Linked DNA regions of Cricetulus griseus. The protein of the gene in region 1 purifies or fractionates together with the protein of each later gene. This does not show direct contact. Links are inferred from orthologs where the notes say so. Each region holds a gene or a part of one and is shown on either strand. Other genes may lie near its edges.

Region 1 (4,080 bases):
TCCTAGAAGGCTGAGGCAGGATGATATCACAAAACCATGCCAGCCAAGCTACAAAACAAACTATCTCAAAAAATAAACAAAAAACAAACCAAAGAACTTAACCCTAGGCAGTCACACCACACAAGTCAGTAGGAAACAATCCCAGGAAAGGCCACAGGAAAATACCTAGCAAAGACATTATTGGAGGGCTGACTGCTTCATACACCATTAAACCCTCCATCACTGGCAACTATTTGTGACAATTAATGTTGACAGTGCCCTATAAGGCAAATTCTGGGCAGTTCCTCTGTAAGGGAGTTTCTAGACTCAGTCACTTGAGGTGGGAAGGAAAACACTAGCTGGGAGGGCAATCCCATGGGCTGGGATCCTAGAACAACTACATAGGAGGAAGTGAACTAAGCAACCACTCTTGTCTGTTTCCTCACAGAGGGCTGCAATGGGACCAACGGCCTTAAACTCTGGGTGCTGTGACTTCCCAACCACAATGGACTTCACCAACTAACCAAGGGCCTAATAGTCAGGTATTCTGTCACAGCAGTGAGAAAAGGAACCAGCACTCTGTTCTTCACAAGGAAACAATCCAGTTTTATGGGATTGCTCCTAAGAGTTCATAGAATCCTCATCCCAGTGAGGACACTGCACATGAAACCCCCCATGTAAAGCTGAGTGGTGATAGCCCATGCCTTCAATTATTCTAGCACTCAGGAGGCAAAGGCAGGCAGATCTCTGTGAGTTCAAGGCCAGCTTGGTCTAGAGAGCAAGTTCCAGGACAGCCAGGACTACACAGAGAAACCTTGTATCAAAAAACCAAACCAAACCAACAAAAAACCCCAAGTAAGGGTGAGAGATGTGATTTATCCGAGGGCACACAAAAGCTGCATCTTGAAGGGCAAGCTAGAGTTCAATGTGTGCAAAGGGAGTGGAACACATCTGGGACAGGGACCAGCACGAATAAAGCAGAATTACAGCCATTGAGATCTAGCCTTCACCGAGAGTGTGGAATGATCACCCTGGCAGGAAAACACACTTCTCTTTAGCATTTTAATCACTGGAAAAAGACTTCTTCAAACTGGACTCTAATAAGCCAAAATACTGTTTTAGAGAATGGTCTTTTAGACTTGTGTTAGTATGATCTGACTTCTGGAAGGCAGATAGCAGATAAGTGCTAAAGCTCTACCAGAACTGAGTTTATAAGCTAGACTGTGAGGATTAACAACAGTGGTAGGTGGGTCTGGTGGTGAGATGACAAAAGAAGACTATCCTGTGAGACTCCCTGGGCAGCTAGCTGGCCAGTCTATTCTCAAATCATATCATTATCATTACCATTATTATTATTATCATTGGTTGTTGTTACTATTGCTTGTGTTTTGAAACAATTCCTTGATGTGTAGTTCAAACTGGCCTCGATTTCCTGACTTCTGGGATTCCGGCCACATTAATTCTGAACTAGTTGTAGTCAAATGCAGGAACTCAATACACCAAAAACATACTAAAAGTAGATGCATTCCAAATTCTCACCCTTGGCACTTTTCTTAAGACAGGATCTCCTAGGTAGCCCGATCAAACCAGAACTTGCCATCCTCCTGCTTGATCTGCTGGTTCCTGACTCCACCCTTGGCAATTCTAATTTGGTATATGAAAAAGAGCTCACAAATAACCTAGCATCTCTTAAATGATTCTGAAGTCCAACCAAGCTGCAGAATTACTTCTTAACATCTCAATAAGACTTATAATCAGAGCCCCCCCCCAATTATTTTTGAGACTGTATCTGACAGGTTTTATTACTTACTAAACAATAAGAAAAAAGGTAGTGGTAACATTAATCATAGTAGCCTTAGACCACTTACTTGAAAGTGTTTAAAAATTAGTTCAGGATTGAAGTATAACTGAAAAGGTGTGATCAATTCCAACTGCTGAAATGGAAAAAGAGCTTCTTAAATCAGATCAATTGTAAAACAAAAATTCGGCATTAACGACAAGGGGCCAGTAGCTCTAATAATTTCTGTTGTCACTTGGAGTAAATTCCTGTCTTGCTTGTGATGGCTGGTAAGAGATTCTTTAGAATTCGCACAACCGTTTTGTATCCTTAATACACAATGCAAGTTTGATGTTGCAATATTTGAGGGTGCTATAAGGTAGGCAGGTGGGGATATTTTAGAGACAAGACAACAGCATCTTTTACGTGTGTCGCGTGGTCAGCACCCGAAACAGCTGGGCAAGACAACTCCGAGTAAGAGATTCGAGGCCCCGCTACCATCAGGGCTAGACACAAGCGGCCAGTTCTTATATCCACGGGCCGTCTTTTGAAAGATGTTTCCAGACCACTCGAGATTTTTTTTTATCCTTAATACAGAAGTCTGTGAACCCAGCGGACCTTGCTCCCGCTAGTCACCTGGCCATAGCGAGGGCTGAGATACATTTTTGGGTGGGCGGCTCCCGCAGCTCTGACTCGCTACAGGTCTGGATTTCATCTCTCGGTAACTGACCTGCCCCTTCATGGAGGAGCACTTCCTTTTCAGGTCACTGGCTTGGCACCCTTGGGACTATCCCGAACCCTAGAGTCAGCTCCGGATGTCTCCACCCACCCCTGGGACCAAACCCTCTGGGCTTCTCTGCGGCCCAAACCCGTTTTCTGAAGACCCAGTCATAGCTAGCCTGAAAAAAGGAGGACGTGGCGCCACAGCTGCTCACCACGGCCGCGGTGGTGAGGACGCAGGCGGTAGTGTAGGCGCGGCTGACCGGCGGGATCTGCAGGTACTCCAGCCGGAGGCTCTGGTACGCCATCTTCCCCACCGCGCCTGCCCCCCTTCCCCTTCCGCCAGTATGCCAGGCGGCGGGGCGGACTCAAAGCCGGCCTCCAGCCTTACCACCGCTGTCCAATCAGCGCCGGGCACTCGGCCGGCCACCAATCGCTGGCGCCTTGCGGACCGCTCACCCACCAATCACGAGTTGCGTTTCCGCGTCGGCCCATCCTTACTTCTCTGCCTACCAACGAAGAGAGAAAGTACCAGTTCCTTCCGCCAATCCCTGCTGGCCACAGCTAGCTTTCCCTCCTCGTCCCCTCCTTTCACCAATCCAAGTGCCCACTTTTGACGCCAGGGCCGGCCAATCAGGAGTGCGGTCCATCCCGCCTTTGCGTTTGTTCGCGGAGGCACGTTTCAGTCGCCTCTGAGGAGTCGCTGCTGCCGCCTTCCTACTGCAGCTCCGTGCGGTTTGAAGGGAGTGGCGGGAAGCCGGTGTGTGGCAGACTCCATCACCCCGGGATCGCTTCGGTAGGGGCCGTGTGTTCTCTGAAGAGGAGCGGAAAGGGCGGGGCTGCAGGAGCGCCGTCGTTTCAGGCGCGCCCCAGCGTTCTGCAGGGTATCCTTCACACGGCCGCCCTGGGCCCGGAGACCTGGACGTCCCGGCATGCAGTGCGGCCGCAGGGTGGGACGGGAGCTGGAGATGCCGGAAGCGCTTCCCGCCCTGCGGTTTTCTTGGGCATTGTCTGTGGTGGCCGAAGGCTCCGTCACACTCGTCGAGATGGTGTGGGTGCCTCCCGTGTTTAACTTGAGCCTCAGGAACTCTGTCTAGCAGAGGAGAGATGGTAGATGAGTTAGTAACACTGAGGGGAAAGCGAAGGAGGTAGTGGCTGGTTCTTCAGGGATGTGTGTTCGAACTGGTTCTTGAAGGATCTGTGCTCGATGCGTGCCCACTTGAAGGAAAAGGGAACTGAATTCGGTTGTGTTGGAGCAAAGACAATCCTGGTCGTGGCAGAAGCATTCGACAAGTTAATAGAAGCATTAAAAAACTGTGGGGCAACGTGTGACTGTCAAGTCTAGTAGGAACCAAGTGAAGGCTGGACAGAGTGGCATTTAAAATTCATATAAGGCTGAACGCAGTGGCACCTGCCTGTGACTCCTAGACATTCTGGAGGCTGAGGCCAGAGGATTTGTTGAGTCCTGAAGTTCTAGAGGAGATTGGGGGCAAACACAAGAAGAGTGGTCTTAACTTGTTTGTAAAACTACAGCGCTACCACCTCGCCGTAGCGTTGCCAGTGTAACAGAAAAGGCAAAATTGGAACTTGTCTCTGAACAAGTT
Region 2 (4,167 bases), on another chromosome or scaffold:
CAGAAGCTCACAGGGTTCCTTATCCTACAGGCAGCAGAGCCTGGGCTCAGAGCAGGTCCTCTGACCTGGGGAGAAGACCCTAGGACTGCTGGGACCTGGAGCCCCACTGAGGAGTGACAGACGAACAGAGCCTTCTGCAAACCTGCCCAGGGTTCTCTATTGCTGGCCCCTTGCTGTTTAGGGCTGTCCATGCAGACTATCCTGGGCTCTCCTATAAACTTCTCACCTCAATCTCTACCATCAGCTGTGGCCAGGGTTTGAGACCAGTCTTGGTTCTTAGTTCAGTCATGATGTATGCTAGCGCTGCTGACATTGCAGCCCTGGGCTGTGGGTTAGAAAATACTATGTCCTCTGGGGATGGGAGTCCCTCCAAAGCAGGGCCTGGGCTCTCTCACCAGGAGCTCTGTCCCTCCCCAGACTCTACCTGGCACTGTCTGAGATGAAGGTTTATTTTAGCTCAAGGTTATGCACTTAAACTGTGGCCCTGGGATAGAGTCCACCCTCTGGCAGCACTTTGTGACTTTTGGGTCAGGATTGGACACTCAGGGAAAGGTCTCTGTCTGGGGAGTCACCTTGTGTGTCTGTTCTCCAGGAACTTGGAAATGATTTCCTTGTTGAGAGTTTGCTCCAGATGCTGCATCTTGCCTTCATCAGGCAGGATGAAGATGGCAGTGGCGTTGCCCAAGTAATCCATCAGCAGCACCCAGCTGGACAGAGTGCTGCAATGGTGCACATCAAACATGCCCAGGCGCTTCATCATGGGCACCTTCACCGTGGTGCTCTGGTCCACGTGGAAGTCAGCTTCCTCAGTGTTCTCTGCCCTGAAGGGCTTCTTCCACTTGCCTGCAGTGTATGGGAAGTAGGAAGTAGGAAGAGGGCTCAGCCAGGGAAGTGGTGACCCAGGGCCTTGACTTTTCACAGGGGACCACTACTAGACTTCAAAATGCCCAGGGACTTTGATGAGGGTAACTTGGGACTAAAGGACTCACACTTTACAGATCACAGAAGCTCACAGCTACCATCCCCATTGTCTAGAAAGCATTTCACCTGTTAGATGTGTTACATGCTTACTGAAAGGTGACCTGGGGTTATAAGTGGAAATCTTGACAGCAATTCTATTTGCTAGCTTCTTATCAGGGTGGCATGCTCATTGGTAAGTGTGAGTTCAGTTGTCACTCAGGACACCTCAAGTCCCTTTCTACATCTATGGGTTCAGTGTAGATGGCCATTTCAAGTGTAAGAACACCATCAAGGTCATTGGAGTGGGTAGGGGTCTCGGGGACCCATCACCAATGCTGGCAGAGTAGGCAAGGCCCTCAGGGATCCACCATAATGGCCCTCAGAAGGAGCATGGAATCAGGAGCCCTAACCCTGCCTTATTATTGGATAGGAAGAGGTTGGGGAGGAGTTAACATCTGCCCTTGTCACAGAAGAGCCAGGACTTGAGCTATGCTGACCATGGCCTGATATTCTGCTCCATAAGACTCTGCTTAGAGGCAAAGGAGCCACGAAGGGCAGAGAAGCTCCTGACTTTGACTCCCAGACCCTCCTCAGATGTTTTCTCTGGGGTACAGGTGCTTAGCATAGAATCCTGACCTAACCACTTCCAGGCAGGAGGCTGTGGCTAGGGTCAAGGAGAGTTGATCAAGTGCTTACATCCAAACCGTCCCTGTGTATACTGTATTTACTAATTCTTTCATCACCTCACAGCAGTTGGCTAGCTTTGTCCCTGGCCATATGGACAGCCGTACCCCAAACATGTAAAATGGCTTGTCCAACATCAAGACAGCAGTAGCAAAATTTAAGCCCATGTTTCCAGAGTTCATACTGGTGTGCAGCAAAAGAGCTGCTCAAAATACGTTTCATGGAGCAGGGCTCTCTTCATACCACCAGATACACTTGGTTCTGAGGTTGGGGAAGAATCTCGTGTTCTGAGACTCCTTCGTCGGGGTCTTCAGTGAGCACGAGGACAGTCAGTCCTTCAAAGAGGTCAGTGGATTTGATGGTTGACAATTCCCAAACTTACTGATGATTTAAAATATGACAGAGTGTACCCACTGGAGAGTCAGGGATGTGATGGGACAGAGTGACACAGCCCAGAGTGAGAGCTCAGAAACCATGGATGAGTGTCTCCATGAGAATCAGCTGGAGCTGGTTATGTCATCTTACCTTTAAAGAAAATGTAATTCACCATGGCAAGAACTGTGTCTTTGTCAAGGTCCTTCACTAAGTCAACTATCTTTCCCTGGGTTCCCTTCTCCACAAAAGCATTGATCACTTTCTTGGCCTCTTCCGAGTCTGTGAAATTGAGGGAGAAGGCTTCTGAGTGGTAATTGTTCTTGGCCTCTTCCAGGAACGTCGCCACCAGCTTCAGATTGTCGTGGATGAACAGGCCATTGCCTGTGGTCAGCTGAAGCTCATTGTCTGGCTTGTTGAGGGTCTGGAGGACGTGATGGAAGCCCTTGTGGATCTCACCCTCTGCTATTTGTGTGAGGTTGAACTCCAGGCCTTCTAGAATCTGGGTGTGAGTGGCACCCTTGGTGCCCAGAGAAAGCATAGCGAAGGCTGTAGCAATGCTCACGGGGGAGAAGAAGATGTTGGTCGTATTGGACTCATGGACCAGCTCCCGGTACAGGCTTAAGGCGAAGTCTGCCAGATTTGAAGCGATCTTACAGCAGGCTTGGTGCTCCTGATCCTGCTGGGAGGCATCTGTCTCCTGGGCATCCTCAGCCAGGAAGCTGGGGACCAGGCAGCACAGGCCTACCAGCAGCAAGATCCCCCTTGAGATGGAGGACATCATTCTTCTGCAAGACACAGAAATGCATGTTGCAAGGAATCGAGGCTGTGGTGACTCCCATCAGCTAACATTTGGCACAATACAAAAGCAACCACAGCCTATTAACGGCTGCTGCATGCCCAGCCTATATCAAGCACTATTTCAAATTGCTATAATTGACAAGAGACTGTTAAAAAGAAAACTAGAGGCATTTCTGTAGATAAAGCACTTGTTATGTAAGGGTGAGAATAGGAGTTTGGAAAATGTGGGCAGAGTAGCCATCTGTAATCCAAGCATGGGGGTGGGGGACAGGGCTGGGCAGAGATGGGATCCTTGAGGCTAGCTGGCCGGCTTGTTAACCAGAAGCTCTGAGCTCTTGGATCACTGAGAGCTCAATAAAGTGGAGAGTGGTTGAGGAAACCACCCAACATCAATGTGAGCCCCCCGTATGCACATGCGCACAGCACACTTCCGCACACAGGCTCACACCTCACAGGCATGTGTGAAAACCAAGTGAGGGAGCGAGAGCAGAGGATCAGACTTTTTTCCATCTGCCAGTGCTGTCCTGAGTCCTCCCATGTGTGAACTCCCAGGGTCCTGTAGGGAGATGATCACTCCCCTGGTAAGGGACATGTTGACACACATTCAAAGTCAACAAACAGCAAATAACACAGCAGGTCTAAGTCACACACAAGGAGTGGTCTGGTGCCTGACCAGTACTCTCATCAGTTCAAGTTCCACCAGCAATGACCTCGAACCACAAGCCCCAGCCCCATTTTACAAAGAGGAAACCAAGGCCTGGGGTGAGAAATGGACTTGTCAGTAATGACAAGGGGAGCAGGGGGTGATCTGGACTAACAGTCGCTTGAAGGTGGGGAAATCATGAGCTCCAGAATCCGGGTGCAGCTGTCACCTCTGTTCCCCAGAGAGACCATGTTGAAGGTGTGGTGATTGTCACAGGAGAAGAGATGAATGGGCACACGGGGAAGTCTAAGGCTGTGAAGAAACCCAAGCGGGCTGGAGAGATGGCTCAGCAGGAAAGAGCCCTTGGTGCTCTAGCAGAGGACCTGGGTTCGAGTCCTAGGACCTATATGGCAGATTACAACGTCCCTGTAGCCAGTTTCAGGGTGTCTGGTGCCTTCTTCCGGCCTCCTCAGTCACTGGACACGCATACAGTGTACTTACATACATGCAGGCAGAACACTTCTACATGTAAGATAAAAATCAGTCTATAGAGGAGAAGGAACACACAGACTGTCCCTACTCAGTGCCCACAAGGAACCTCAGTCCCTGGTGGCTTTCCCTGAAAGAGGGACTGTCACCATTCTACCCTGTGATTCCAGCCCCAGGCTGTGTTGGCTCCCCCTCTGGCAGCCCATCTGCCATCTTGA

Evidence for each region. The genes of interacting proteins can lie anywhere in the genome.
Region 2: the proteins of Derl2 (region 1) and Serpina1 purify together in Homo sapiens (affinity purification with western blotting; 3 studies listed by BioGRID). This does not show direct contact. The link is inferred for Cricetulus griseus from reciprocal best matches to the Homo sapiens genes DERL2 and SERPINA1.

What each region holds. Positions count from the first base shown.
Region 1 is NC_048600.1:84,823,172-84,827,251, forward strand, and holds the start of Derl2 (derlin-2), read right to left. Parts: upstream 2,819-4,080; 5' UTR 2,785-2,818; coding exon 2,656-2,784; intron 1,914-2,655; coding exon 1,848-1,913; intron 1,624-1,847; exon of another isoform or gene 1,519-1,623; intron 1-1,518.
Region 2 is NC_048598.1:190,875,360-190,879,526, reverse strand, and holds the start of Serpina1 (alpha-1-antitrypsin), read right to left. Parts: upstream 2,801-4,167; coding exon 2,170-2,800; intron 844-2,169; coding exon 573-843; intron 1-572.